4 linked regions of the Macaca fascicularis genome follow. The protein of the gene in region 2 purifies or fractionates together with the protein of the main gene of each other region. This does not show direct contact. Links are inferred from orthologs where the notes say so. Each region holds a gene or a part of one and is shown on either strand. Other genes may lie near its edges. The genes, in order: COPA, COPG1, ARCN1 and NUDCD1.

Region 1 (4,085 bases), on a different chromosome or scaffold from region 2:
GGGTTATTAAAAAGTCCATGTAGCGCCATTGACAGTGACACTAAAAGAGAGAAAACTTGGTCAAAGGAAAGGTGTTTGACCTTAGATTTGCCAAATTCTGGTTGCACAGGTGATCACACTTCTGCTTGTATATCCTGTATGTATATTACTAACCAGTTAATACAAAGGTGCTGGGCTAAGAAAACTTTCTGAGACATTTTTCCAAGAGTGTGAATAGAATTGAGAGAAACCTTATGACATACACTGGTCAGTTAATTTAACATCAGTAGGTCATTTGTGTGCCCACAGTGTGGGGCAGCTGTAGTTTCTCCTTTGAGGATCTTTAAAAACAATGTGAACTAGGGGAAGGCACAGTCATAGTTATATACAGACATTTGCATTTTAGGGCGTGACCAACTAAAAAGCCATGTATCAGTAAATAAACGCGTATAAGCAAACAGTCAAGTATATTATAAATGCCAAAAGTTCCTTGAATCGTTACTTCACGGTTTGGACAGTTAAGAGTACCCATATCCTACCTTATTCTTGCTTTACTGATTAAAAAAACAAAAACAAAAACAAAACCTGAGGCAAGGCAGAGGGACACAGACTTTGGGTGTAACCAATAGAGGAAGAAATAAGAAATCTACCTTTTAAGCGCCGCACAGCACCCACAGAACAAGATTGCTTTCGTCTCAAAAAGTCTAAACGCGGGGAAGAAAGCTAACTTTCACACCTGTTTCTTTCGACTGTGGGGTGGGTGGCTGGGGTTGTGGGAAAAACGAGGCATCTGGACAAAGTGGGAGAGGGTCGAGTTCGAAGTCCAGGAAGAGGCCTAGAGAAGGGAGTGAAGCGACACGACATGCTGCGGGGGAGAAGGGACCTTTAGGTCCAGGCAAAGGGGGAACTTCTGTCGTGGGAACGAAAGAGAAAGAGGATTTACAGGGTGGGGGGACAGAGGGGCAGCAGGAACCAGAAGGGAGACAGTGGCGCTCGCGGCTGGGCCGATCCGGAGAGTTCCCTTTAGAGAACGGAGCTCACGGGTGGGGAGGCCTCACCTGCTAGTAGGACGCAGAAAGACAGAAGACGAAGGAGACCCCGACTTCCCGGGTCAGCCCCAGAGCCACCCCCTGCCGTGGCCATCTTGCCTCTCTGCTGAGCGGAAGTCCCCGTTCGGCTCCTGCCGGGTAGCGGCCTCTCTAGGCTACCACTGACACCATCTCTGTGGCCCGGAGCCCAACAGACCGGAAGTTCGTGTTTCCAGGAGCTTCCGGAAACCGCGGCAGAGGGTAGCTGACGTGGAGGCGTCCGAAGGGCAGCAGGGTGTGTCGGGGCTCGGATTAAAACATCGGAGTCGGAGACCTGAGAGATGCTAACCAAATTCGAGACCAAGAGCGCGCGGGTCAAAGGTAGTGGAGAAAAAAAAGGGGAACATGGAGGTTGGATGTCAAGAGCGGCGCAGACACCGGGGAAGAGAAAATGGGTAGACGTGCTGGCCGAAGTGGGCCCACTAGACGGACCCAGAGGAAGACGGAGGGTGGGAGAGAGGTTAGGCCTGGCTAGCGGTTCTCCAGTCCCCTCTTTGGTGTGTCCTTGGGCTTCGATTTACCTATAAAGTGGCTCCCACACTGTAGGTGATTCCTTAGACCACCTCCCTATTCTTTCTTCTCCCTTTCTCTCTTTGCTGTGCTCCCAACTTGTATTGTTCTGCTCCAAAGGCCCTGTGACCTGTTGACTTTTTGATTGTGTTATATGGAGTGGCCCTGGGGCTTGAGTCTCGATCTCTGTTACTTGCACCCGAGTCAGTAGCTTTTTTGGAGACGTGTAGTGGCTACCTCACTTAAGGAGGCCTTGGCTGCAGCATCTCAACATCAGTACCTTCATTCGGCTTTATTCACTACCCGGAAGTAGTACTTTGAGGCTTATAACCCCAATAAAGTCTCAACTTGATAGGGTTGCCAGATAAAATGCAGGACACCCAGTTAAATTTGAATTTCAGGTAAACAATGAATAGTTTTTTTAGTCTGTCCTTGCTTACCAGAAGTTCAAATATATCTGGGCATCTCGTATTTTTATTTGCTAAGTATGGCGACTCTAGAGCTCGAGTGTGGGTCGTTGGGGGTGGTGGGCAAATACTGAGATCTCAGTATTAGCCTCAGAATGTTAAAATGTGAAAGGCAGAGAGAAGTAAGGTCTCCAGAGACCTGGAAAAAATAGTATCTAGAGTATGTAGTAAGATGCAGCGTAACAAAATGGTTAGTCTTTGAAAGTGGTTGGTCTTTGAAGTCAGATGGGCTTGCTTTGGAATCCTGAGACATCCACTAACAAGCTGTATGACTTGGGTGACTTAAGGTCTCTAAGTGCTATTTCCTCATCTGTAAAATAGTCTTTTATAGAAAGAATTAAAATGAGAAAGTATGGAATGTATTTATTGCAGCACCTGGTGTAGACTCAGTAGTGCAAAAAGTGGAGGCTGCTCTCAATGTGTGAATATATTCTGAGCAGTTTCTAAGTCTCTTGGGAAACTTGACCTTGAAAGGTGGGTACCATTAAGAATTTCTGAGACCTGTGTAGGTGAAATGGGTCTTCATAATCTTTCAGTTTTCTTTTCTGCTCCTAATTTCTTGCTGGGCAGTAGAGAAGGAAAAACAAAGATGTTGTAATAATTGAGGGCGAACATCCATTGTTGAGTGTACTTATATATCATAATGGAAAAAAAAAAAGAGAACCTAATGGAAAAATAGACAATTTAGAAGAAAAATTGTAAATGTTCAATAAATAATTAAAACAGTTCCACCTCACTAGTAATGAAAGAAATGCAAAAAAAAAAAAAAAAAAAAAAGTGAAGTTACTTTCTTGGGGGGAGGGTCTTAGATTTATAAAACAAAACAACAAATAGCTGATAACATCCTGTGTGCAAAATGGGCACCTCCATAAACTTCATGAGACTGTATATTGATAAAGTGTTTTTACATTTAAATATATGTACTAAAATGTTAAGTGCACATATTCTATTCCTGAGCAATCTCACTTACAGGTCTTTAGCCTAGAGCAGTAATAATGCAAATAGGCTAGATTATGTGTAGAAGTATCTTCAGTAGGCTCTTCTGATAGCCAAAAATTGGGGGACAAAGGTAAATGCCTGTTAGAATAATGTAAAAGTTTGCAGAACAACATCATAATGTGATCCCCACTTTCATAAAATAGTAAGGCCTATGTCTATGTGTAACTGCATTACAAATCTGAAAGGGTACACTCCAAACTGTTAGTAGTTGTTACCTCTGGGGACTTCCATTTCCAGTCTTGATAGAATAACAAACAAAATGTATGAAACAAAGGTTCATACATTGCTCACAGACGTTGGGTGACACGCAGTGCAGGGAAATGATTCTTGAGAGAAGGGAAATAAACAAGGTGAGTCCTATGATTGTCATAGATTACTGCCTAGAGAGTTTTCAGGCTTCAGTGAAAAGGGGAATCCCTTGTTCTTTCTGAGGAGACAAAAGTTTAGAGTGTGGGGAAGCAAAGATGCTAGATTTTGCAGGGCAAAATGCTGGAGAAGAGGGGGCTGCAGAGAGAGAGCACTAGAGGTCTGCAGGATGTCCTCTCGGGTCTTTGAGTACTGATCTGCATGTGAGAAAACTATTCAAAACCTGACAAAGAACCACTGGAAAGGAGAAGGCAGAGCAATCCCCAGAGCTCACACAGGGCTGGGACTAGTTTGTGTTCCTACTGGCCAGAATGGAAAGACTTCCTGATATTATAGAGCTTCAAATAGAGACCTCAGATGGGCTATTGCTTTAATAATGGTTCCAGATTAAGCCTAGAATGAAGGCTGCTGTAGCCCCCCTGTAATAGAACCTAAAAGCAAGCCTTGAAAGGATCAACTGATTCCAAGTAACTTAATTGCATCCTAGAGCAAAGCCCAACAATATTTAAAGGAATATAACAAACATCTAGTACCAAACATAAAATTCATGATGTCTGGCATCCAGTAAAAAATCATCAAGTGCGTCGAATGAATAAATGAGCCTAGGATTAACCTTGCTGTTTCTTTTTCTTATCAGAATTGACAGAAGGTGACATCATGGGGCTTAGTTAGCTCA
Region 2 (3,568 bases):
AACCCCTAGTAATTCTGATACAGGTGATCCATGGTCATAGTGCGAGGAATCCTGCCATAGAATAGGTGCAAGAGTGGTAGCTGTAGCCATTATAGGTGGACACCATGTGCACACATCTACCAGATGCCTCATTCACTTGGGTTATTCCCTTTAGTCTGCAAGGAATGCCAGGACCAGCCAGGGTGGGGTCCCATGGGCCTGTGCTTAAATCCAGTGCTTGAACCTGGCCATAGGGTGTAGGCATAGGTCTTAACCAGACACAGACCATTCTAAGTTGGGTTTTCTGCAACGCTCTCATTCCGAAACATCTCTTTATTGGCCATTTGTCTTAACTGACAAATATATAGGACCAGTTTGTTACTTTGTCTGATTTTGTAGCTATAGTAGTATCGATCTTATTTTCCTAATTGATCTTATTTTCCTAATTGTCACCTTCTTTTAAGAATCCTTGCTGAGCTAGGGGGTGGAAATCCTTGCTAAGCTTCTAAAACCGGGGGAATCTCCAATTAGGTCTAGGATTTTGTGGTCTCATATCAGTGTTTTGCTTCTGAGGTCTTTCATGGTACAGAGATGGGGAGAGTATTTGTTGGGGGTTGTATCACATGAGCAAAGTCAGGGAGATGAGAAAATGCATGGATATATTCAGGAAATAATGAGTAGCCAGGTGGGTAAACATATTTATCCATCTAAGGTAGGTGGAACACCTTGCGAATGGTCATGGGAATTTATTAGAAACCATCACAAGTTGGTCTGGGGATTTAGAAGCTGAGTGAATGTGGCCTGTGGATTTCAGAGCAGTTGGCGGCGGTGCCAGAGTTCCGGGGACTTGGGCCCCTCTTCAAGTCCTCGCCTGAGCCCGTGGCCCTCACTGAGTCAGAGACGGAGTATGTCATCCGCTGCACCAAACACACCTTCACCAACCACATGGTTTTTCAGGTGAGCAAGGTGGGCTGAGGCCCTGCTGGGGCATGCGCCCAGGGAGTTGTCCCAGGTCTGGCAGGTCCTGTAGGGACATGGGTCCCCACACTGTGTTGGTTGGGAGCCCAACTTGATGACAGAATCTGTCCCCAACATGCCTGTCTCACATATCTGTTGACCCAGGGCCTCCATGGCTCCTGATTATCAGCATGGAGACAGGGAGCCTGGGGCAGGGGGACTGGGATGGGAATCACCTTGGTCAACAGGAAAGAGGTGGGACCTCCTGGCTCTTCCTCTGCAGCATGGCTCAGACCTAGAGCAATGTTTAAGCTCCCCTCTCTTCCCTGTTCAGTTTGACTGCACAAACACACTCAATGACCAGACCTTGGAGAATGTCACAGTGCAGATGGAGCCCACTGAGGCCTATGAGGTGCTCTGTTATGTGCCTGCCCGGAGCCTGCCCTACAACCAGCCTGGGACCTGCTACACACTGGTGGCACTGCCCAAAGAAGACCCCACAGCTGGTGAGACCCTCTCCAGATACCACCCTATCCTTATGGGAGCTCATGGGATCAGGAGGTGGGCGACTGGGCACTAGTTGTTTGCCTTTTATTAGAGCTTCAGCTCCTTGATTTCAGTCCCAAGAAGAATAGCTGAGTCCCAAATGCTCTTCTTTAAAAAATTTTTTTAAAGAGACAGGATCTCACTAGAACTCATGACTTGACTTTCCTGTCCTACAAGGTGGCGCCCTCTGTCCAGCTTTGTAGGATTGTATGGCTTGTTGCTGCTACTAATAACATAGCAGGGGCCTAGAAAGCAGGCTGTGACCCCTGCCTGCTTGTTCCCTGCAGGAGGAGCCCGTCCCCTGCAGTCTGGGGACTTCCTAACTACCCAGTCTCTCTTCCCCACAGTGGCCTGCACATTCAGCTGCATGATGAAGTTCACTGTCAAGGACTGTGATCCCACCACTGGGGAGACCGATGACGAAGGCTATGAGGATGAGTATGTGGTAAGAGCCTGGTGTCAGGAAGCTCAGTTTTGTGCTGAGGCTGCAAAGCAACTCCCTTCAGAAACTGACAGACAGACTGGAGCTGTTTTTGACTTTTTAGCTCTTTAAAATTTTATTTTATTATTTTATTTTTTGAGATGAAGTTTCTCTCTTGTTACCCAGGCTGGAGTGCAATGGCACGATCTCGGCTCACTGCAACCTCTGCCTCCCAAGTCCAAGTGATTCTTTTTTTTTTTTTTTTTTTTTTTTTTGAGACGGAGTCTCGCTCTGTCGCCCAGGCTGGAGTGCAGTGGCCTGATCTCAGCTCACTGCAAGCTCCGCCTCCCGGGTTCACGCCATTCTCCTGCCTCAGCCTCCCGAGTAGCTGGGACCACAGGCGCCCGCCAGCTCGCCCGGCTAGTTTTTTGTATTTTTTAGTAGTGACGGGGTTTCACTGTGTTAGCCAGGATGGTCTCGATCTCCTGACCTTGTGATCCACCCGTCTCGGCCTCCCAAAGTGCTGGGATTACAGGCTTGAGCCACCGCGCCCGGCCCCAAGTGATTCTTTTGCCTCAGCCTCCCGAGTAGCTGGTATTACAGGCGCCCGCCACCATGCCTGCCTAATTTTTTGTATTTTTAGTAGAGACAGGGTTTCACCATGTTGGCTAGGCTGGTTTCGAACTCCTCGCCTCAGGTGATACACCTACCTTGGCCTCCCAAAGTGTTGGGATTACAGGCGTGAGCCACTGCGCCTGGCCTAAAATAACTTTTTAAACTTATGGAAATACATGTTCATGTGTAAAAAGAAAACTTGGGAAATACAAAAACAAAATACAAAACAAAAGTATGAACAACAGGAAAACATTACTCATAATCTTCAGAGTTACTTTTGGGGGGCAGTGGTATAATTGGAATCATTCTTATAATGTAGACCTTGCTATTTTAAAACCATAGTGTATTTTCCAGTGTCATTACAAATACTTCATAAACACAATTTTTTTAGTGGATTTAAAATACTGTTATATACTATGTCAAAACTTGATTGACCTTTCACTCCTTGAATGTTGGGCATTTGGGTTTCCATATTTTCACTATTTATAATGCTGCACTAAATATCCCTTTAGATACAAATTTTTATCTGCATTTTAGATTATTTCTTTAGGATAGATTCCTAGAAGGAGAATAATTGGGTCAAAGGGTAAGCATGATTTTAAGACATTTTGATTCCTTTTGTCAAATGCTTTCTGGATACATTTGACCTGTTTGCCGTGCTGGGCAGTCCTTTCATGCACTGGAATAGCCCTTCTAAATTCTCCTATCTTAGCTCGATGGAACTAAGTACAGGATCCTTCTGGGGTCTGACCTTGGGGCAGTGGCTCAGGGCCTTCTGAGTGCAGACCACTACGCTCAGCCTGTGGATGGGGATTGTTAGAACTCCTCCTGACTAGAGGGACAGTCATGGTGGAATACAGCTGACATTCACCATTGTGTCATCCTAGAGTCACAGTTGAGGATGGATGGACCTTCCTTAAGCTGGAAATGACCCTGAGGCAGGAGCTGCTTTAAGACCAAGTGAGCTCCTTGAGAGAGCTGGGTCTGTTTGAGCCCACCCAGAGATGATAGAAAAAAAAAAAAAAAAGAGCTGGGTCGAAGTTGTATTTA
Region 3 (4,048 bases), on a different chromosome or scaffold from region 2:
AGTGCCCCATTGTATCTGTCTTTTTTCACATAATATTTTCAAGGTTCATCCATATTGTAGCATGTCAGTACCTTATTCTATTTTGTGATTAAATAATATTCCATTCCATATATATGCCACATCTATTGATGAATGGATTTGTTTGGATTGTCTCCACTTTCTGGCTGCTATGAATAAAGTTGCTATGAACATTAGGGTACACATTTTTGTGTTGACATATATTCAGTTCTCCTGGGTATGTACCTATGAGTAGAATTGCTCAGTCATATGGCAATTTTGTTTAACTTTTTGAGGAACTGCCAAACTCTTTTCCAACGTGGCTGCACTATTTCACATTCATCCTCACCAACAATTATTATGATAGCCATCCTAGTGGGTGTGAAGTGGTATCTCACCATGGGTCTGATTTCCATTTCCCTAAGGATATTCAACATTTCTTAATGTGCATATTAGCCATTTACATATCTTCTTTGGACACATATCTATTCAGATCTTTTGCTCATTTTAATTTTTTGTTTTCTACTCTCTCCATTTTGCAGATGAAGCCCATTTTTAGACAGGAATACTGTATTTGTCTTCTTATTGCTGAGTTATAAGAGTTCTTAGGCTGGGCGCGGGGGCTCACGCCTGTAATCCCAGCACTTTGGGAGGCTGAGGCGGGTGGATCACTTGGGGTCAGGAGCTCGAGACCAGCCTGGCCGACATGGCAAAACCCCTTCTCCACTAAAACTACAAAAAACAGCCGAACGTAGTGGCCCGTGCCTGTAATTCCAGCTACTCGGGAGGCTGAGGCAGAAGAACCCCTTGAACGTGGGAAGCGGAGGTTGCAGTGAGCCGACATCGCCCTATTGCGACAGAGTGGGCGACAGAGTGAGACTCCATCTCAAAAAAAAAAAAAAATTTTTTATTTATATATATTCCGGATACTAGTCCTTTATGCACACGGGTTATCTTGTATATTTATTAAATAATAGTGGCTGTGCCAGCGGCTTAATAAACTGTAAGATGTGACGCAAAATAAATGAAGGCGATGACAGTGAAAGGGCAGAGATATAAGGTTCCACAGTCGGGGGGTGAACGCTCCCTACACCTCCTGGGCACAGTCTTAACCCGAGCAGGGTACCCTCAATTTCCCCAGCCCGCAGGCCCCGCCCCGCCCCGCCCTTTGACCTCCGCCGCTTCCGGTTGAAGACGTGGCTCGGGGCCGCCATCTTGGCAAGAGGCGAAGCGGCAGCGGCTCCTGTCAAGCGGGCAGCAGATCCAGAGCGGCCCGTGCTCCCCTTCCCCAGACCCTCCCCCTATCCCCAGTGGAGCCGGAGAGCGGGCGCGCCCCACCACCGCCCTCACCATGGTAAGATCCGAGCCAGGACCCGAACTCCTGGGGTCCGAACCTCACAGTCTCTCCCTGTCGGCGGGCCTGGGGCCGGGGCCGGAGGAGCCCCGCCCTGAGGGTCTAGGGCCGGGTGCTTTGCTCGGGGCTCTGGGAGCAATGTGGCCTCCTGTGCCCGGTCTCCTGGAGATCCGACGGAGCTGACTTCAGTCCATCTGTCGTCGTGCCCGCTTCCCCACCACCCCCCAACCAGCTGGACTCCCTCGTCTGCTGGGACCTGCCCCTGAGACGGCCCTGCGTTTTTGCCTGCGAAAACTTCGTGGTGGTGGTGCGGGTCCCAGGCTGCGGACCTCGGAACTGATGCTGTCCTGCCGGTTCCCTGGCGCTTAGGCTCAGCAAGCTGGGCCTGTCTCCGGAGGTTCTGGTCCTTCTTGTTAACCAGCTTGTCTCCCACCCCCGGTATTTGCTAGGCCGTTGATAACTCGAAATGCAAATCCACTGGTGTCCAGAAATTTTTCTTTTGTTTGTTCAGAAGGGAGAAATGGAGACACAGAGCGGAAAGGAGTAACTTCTAACATTAATTTATAGGACCCAAGTGTCCCTGAAACCTTCCACTACTTCCGTAGAACTCACTTGTGTCCATTTGTTAGTGTGACTCAGGGTACATACACTGTGTAGACCACTGGGAAAATGTGAGCAAGTTCCAGAGAACACAGGGTTTGCCTTCAAGCAACTTATTGTTCAGATGAAGTAAAATGTGTATGTGGCATGTCGTAGTCAGATGTCTCACAGGAGGAGGAGTAAGAGGGGTGAGTTATCCTCTGAGACCAGTTACTTGCCTTCACATGCGTTATGTTTGTATACTCATCTGTTACAAGGATGAGAAAGGTTAATGTGGTTGAGGATGGAGGAAATTAGAACTGCTGACATCACTCAATCTTCCTTTATCGCTGTGATTTGTAGATATTCATAAAGTAGTAGACATTCTTTGGTTTCAAAAAAGCTAGTAGTTTATTTTTCAGTGCACCTTATGTCCTTTAATCTTTTGAAGGATATTCTATTCTGTTCTTTTTTATTTTTTTGTCAATAGATAACTTGATTTAAAACATCGTCCAGTGTACCTGAGAGATGACAGAATGTAATTTGGTGCCAATCCTAATCAGTTCTATTGACAACCCTGTAGATAAGAACTTGGATAATGGGGGGAACTCATGCTTGAGCTTTAAGCCACTGAACAGCTTTTCTCAGCCTCAGGTATATAAATTGCATCAAACAGGTTTGCCTCCTAAAATTTTTGTGTTGGACGTAAAATTTACAGAAACTTGTATTTTCAGTTTCTCCAGGAGGTCCTGTATTTGGTTAGTGATTTTGAAACTCAGTTCCTGTTTACACCCTGGAATTAATAGTGCATTTTAGAGCATATTTTTATTTTTATTTTTTTTTTATTTTTTATTTATTTATTTTTTTTTTGAGGCGGAGTCTCGCTCTGTCGCCCGGGCTGGAGTGCAGTGGCCGGATCTCAGCTCACTGCAAGCTCCGCCTCCCGGGTTTACGCCATTCTCCTGCCTCAGCCTACCAAGTAACTGGGACTACAGGCGCCCGCCATCTCGCCCGGCTAGTTTTTTGTATTTTTTAGTAGAGACGGGGTTTCACCGTGTTCGCCAGGATGGTCTCGATCTCCTGACCTCGTGATCCACCCGTCTCGGCCTCCCAAAGTGCTGGGATTACAGGCTTGAGCCACCGCGCCCGGCCGCATATTTTTATTTTAATGGTAAAGTTAAGGTCTTGTATTATGTAAACCAGATATAGATAATCTTTATAAAAATCTTATTTGTTAAAAGGTTATTGGAATTTAGTATTTTTAATTCATTGATAACTGAGGGATGGTAAAGCCCTACATGATATATATAAAATATAACTTTTGCATGCTATTTTGACATGTGTACGTATACATAGAGTTGTGTCACATATTTCTGAATTATTTGGGACTTAGCATGATCCAGATACCCACAGATTTGTGTACTCTGGAGAATAATTTATCTCAGTACATTCTGCTCTGTAGAGTCTTAAGACATTGGTGTTATTTCTGTGTAATGTTTTTGGGTCCTGCTCCTTTACAAACATATCCCTGGACAGTAGAAATGTCCAGATAGGGTGAAATATTGATCTGAAAGTTGTATCAAAACTTCTAGCAATTTATTTTAGCTCAACATTTCATTATGAAATTTTCAAACATCTGGAAAAGTTGAAAGGACTTTGTAGTGAATACCCATGTAACCACCAGCTAGATTCTGTAACTAACATTTCACTATATTTCATCATGCATCTAACCATCCATCCATCCCTCTCTCCATTAAAAAAATATACATTTCAAAGTAAGTTGCAGATATCAGTACATAAACATTGATTTTTTAAAAATAAATTCCTTTTGGCTTTAGTTATTGAAGTGCACAATGTCCTAGACTGCAAAGTTCCAATAGATAAATAAGTGAACAAATGCAAAAACAAATGCCTTCTCATGACTTCATCATAAAGTAAAGTACAAAGAAAGGCATCTTTTGATTTACTTATATTTTTAAGAGACAGGGTCTCACTATGTTGCCCAGGCTGGAGGGCAGTGGCTATTCACAGGCACTATCACAGTGCACTGTGGCCTGAAACTCCTAGCCTCAAGCGATCCTCCCACCTCCATCTCCCGAGTAGCTGGGACTGTAGACA
Region 4 (2,727 bases), on a different chromosome or scaffold from region 2:
CTACTCTGGCAACCACACTCCAGCAAACAAGATGATATGTGGGAGCACATCGCAACTTTCAATGCTTTAGGTATAAAGCAAACTCTTTGACATTTTCCATGAAATCAGAACTATAGTCATCATTCATTTAAAGTTCATTCCTTTTTTTTTCTTTTTAATTTGAGCTGTCCTGATTACATTTAGATTGATTTGTGCTATGATTTGTTTTCTTGTACTAGCGGATGAGTGTTAGCACTGTTGGAACATTTAGACTAATCTGTTTTTATGCTTATACAGAAGATCAAGACAATAGAAATGAAAGTGGTTATCTAACCATTTGAATTATTCTAATAAGTCATTTGCTTTTTCTAATTCTGTAAACCATATAATACTGGAGTCTGAACAAGGAGCTTGATAATACCCTACATGGAACTTGTATTCAAGTTTCTTCAGAGTAATCTTCAAAAACATCATAGAATTCCCCTAAGGTATAATGCACATTAGGAGACATCTTTTGTCAAAATTAAGACAAAAGAGAGCCATTATAATGAAAACACTTATGGAAAGCGGTGATAAGCAGAAATTAAATTTATTTGGTAGGATAAAAGGAAAAAAATCAGCTTTAAAATTAGGGCTTGAAAATGTTTAAACTACTTAATTGTAGATGTATGCAATCATTGATTTTTTTGTCAAAATGCATTAGTATTGTGTGACAGAAATTTTTTATGTGAATTAGCCACAGTTATTGCTTTATTGAAAGGTTATTTTAAACTGGCAGCAAGAAGTGAAAGTATGTATTTTGATGGCTATATATGCACAACCCTAATAGTAGAAGAAATTTATTAATTATCCCTTGTAGTTAATAATACAGGCTGCTAAACTGGTTCAGACACCAAATGGATTTTTATGACCTGAAGTACAAAGTTTGGTTGACTAATTTAACCATATAATTTTTAGCCTCCCTACTATAATGCTATTTTTTAATTATCTATACTTTAGTCAGAAGAAAGCTCTATCATATTATCTTTAGATGCTCAGATCTTCTATTTGTATCCCCAGATCCCCTATTATAGAGGAAGTCTATGCTTAATTCTAAGTTAAATCAACGTTACATTAGATATGTACTCATGAAATATATACATTATTCTGTCAAGGTTAGCCTGGATAGCAACTTTAAACTATTTAAATAGGTATCTAAATCTTCACTTTTCCCACTTCAAACCCTGCTTAATTAAAAACAATATTGATCTGCATGTGCTCAGTAACTCCTTTGCTTATTCATTGTTTGATGAGATCTCAATTTTAATTAGTGTTTTTTTTTTTTTGCTTATTCATTGTTTGATGAGATCTCAATTTTAATTAGTGTTTTTGTTTTTTTTTTTTTTTTTGAGACGGAGTCTTGCTCTGTCGCCCAGGCTGGAGTGCAGTGGCGCGATCTGCGCTCACTGCAAGCTTCGCCGCCGGGTTCACGCCATTCTCCTGCCTCATCCTCCCGAGTAGCTGGGACTAGAGGTGCGTGCCACCACGCCCGGCTAATTATTTTTTGTATTTTTAGTAGAGACAGGGTTTCACCATGTTAGCCAGGATGGTCTTGATCTCCTGACCTCATGATCCGCCCACCTCGGCCTCCCAAAGTGCTGGAATTACAGGCGTGAGCCACTGCGCCCGGTGTATATTTTTATTTTACATGATCTTAAATACCTAACATGTACTAACCATGTCACAATCTGAAAATCATAATTTATATTTCGGAACATAAATGTTGTTTTAATCCAAAAAGATACTTTTTAAATGTGTACATGAATTAAGATAAGATTAAGGATTTTTTCAGTTTAGAGACTTGAAATTATTTTTTAGGTTATAGTAGTCAACATTCTACTTCTGGGGGCTGAAAGTACAACAAAATCCGGTTACAGTGTTGGTATTGTTGTGTAAAAATATCACTAACATTTTAGGGATAATAAGAGAATGCATCACAAATACTAGTACATTCAGGGATACATTATGAACAGAAACCTAAAATAACTTTATGATGGTATCCTATACACATTTTCCAATTTATTTAAGAGGAAAAAAATGATTCTGTGATGCCATATCTGTAATTCATGAAGCTAAATATTAAATTGGCACTTAAAGATATTTGTCATGTAGTTAGTGTTTTAGATTTTAGAATTTTAGTGTTCGAATTATTCATGGAAATTAAATGAAACTATATTATGCTTTTCTTGAAGAGAGAAAGCCGTATCTGTTTTGTTCCTTAAGAATTAAAGTTGTATTTTTGTACCAGTTGGGAGAGACTGATTGTGGCTAATCATTAATGATTCAGAATTATATACCTTACGGTATATATTTTACTTGGGCATTTTAATTTGTAATAAACATTGCAAAATATTAAATGTTAAATCATGATTTTTCCCCTTCTGTTTAATATATAGTTTTTCTTTTGTTTGTCTCATATTCTTGGCAGGCTATGTCCAAGCATCAAAGAGAGACAAAAAATTTTTTGCCTGTGCTCCAAATTACTCCTATGCAGCCCTTTGTGAGTGCCTTCGTCGAGTATTCATCTATCGTCAGCCTGCTCCCATGTCCACTGTACTTTACAACAGAAAGGAAGGCAGGCAAGTAGGACAGGTTGCTAAGCAGCAAGTAGCAAGCCTGGAAACCAATGATCCTATTTTAGGATTTCAGGCAACAAATGAGAGATTATTTGTTCTTACTACCAGAAACCTCTTTTTAATAAAAGTCAAT

The links.
Region 1: the proteins of COPG1 (region 2) and COPA purify together in Homo sapiens (affinity purification with mass spectrometry; 6 studies listed by BioGRID and IntAct, counting the BioPlex papers as one, with this or other methods). This does not show direct contact. The link is inferred for Macaca fascicularis from reciprocal best matches to the Homo sapiens genes COPG1 and COPA.
Region 3: the proteins of COPG1 (region 2) and ARCN1 purify together in Homo sapiens (affinity purification with mass spectrometry; 6 studies listed by BioGRID and IntAct, counting the BioPlex papers as one, with this or other methods). This does not show direct contact. The link is inferred for Macaca fascicularis from reciprocal best matches to the Homo sapiens genes COPG1 and ARCN1.
Region 4: the proteins of COPG1 (region 2) and NUDCD1 purify together in Homo sapiens (affinity purification with mass spectrometry; 3 studies listed by BioGRID and IntAct, counting the BioPlex papers as one, with this or other methods). This does not show direct contact. The link is inferred for Macaca fascicularis from reciprocal best matches to the Homo sapiens genes COPG1 and NUDCD1.

The regions. Positions count from the first base shown.
Region 1 is NC_088375.1:100,716,120-100,720,204, forward strand, and holds the start of COPA (coatomer subunit alpha), read left to right. Parts: upstream 1-1,263; 5' UTR 1,264-1,348; coding exon 1,349-1,388; intron 1,389-4,085. Other genes in the region: NCSTN (nicastrin), read right to left, coding at 1,038-1,122. UniProt on the Homo sapiens protein: The coatomer is a cytosolic protein complex that binds to dilysine motifs and reversibly associates with Golgi non-clathrin-coated vesicles, which further mediate biosynthetic protein transport from the ER, via the Golgi up to the trans Golgi network.
Region 2 is NC_088376.1:154,151,344-154,154,911, reverse strand, and holds part of COPG1 (coatomer subunit gamma-1), read left to right. Parts: intron 1-793; coding exon 794-936; intron 937-1,270; coding exon 1,271-1,442; intron 1,443-1,829; coding exon 1,830-1,927; intron 1,928-3,568. UniProt on the Homo sapiens protein: The coatomer is a cytosolic protein complex that binds to dilysine motifs and reversibly associates with Golgi non-clathrin-coated vesicles, which further mediate biosynthetic protein transport from the ER, via the Golgi up to the trans Golgi network.
Region 3 is NC_088388.1:117,439,582-117,443,629, forward strand, and holds the start of ARCN1 (coatomer subunit delta), read left to right. Parts: upstream 1-1,190; 5' UTR 1,191-1,348; coding exon 1,349-1,351; intron 1,352-4,048. UniProt on the Homo sapiens protein: Component of the coatomer, a cytosolic protein complex that binds to dilysine motifs and reversibly associates with Golgi non-clathrin-coated vesicles, which further mediate biosynthetic protein transport from the ER, via the Golgi up to the trans Golgi network.
Region 4 is NC_088382.1:118,796,165-118,798,891, reverse strand, and holds part of NUDCD1 (nudC domain-containing protein 1), read left to right. Parts: coding exon 1-70; intron 71-2,446; coding exon 2,447-2,727.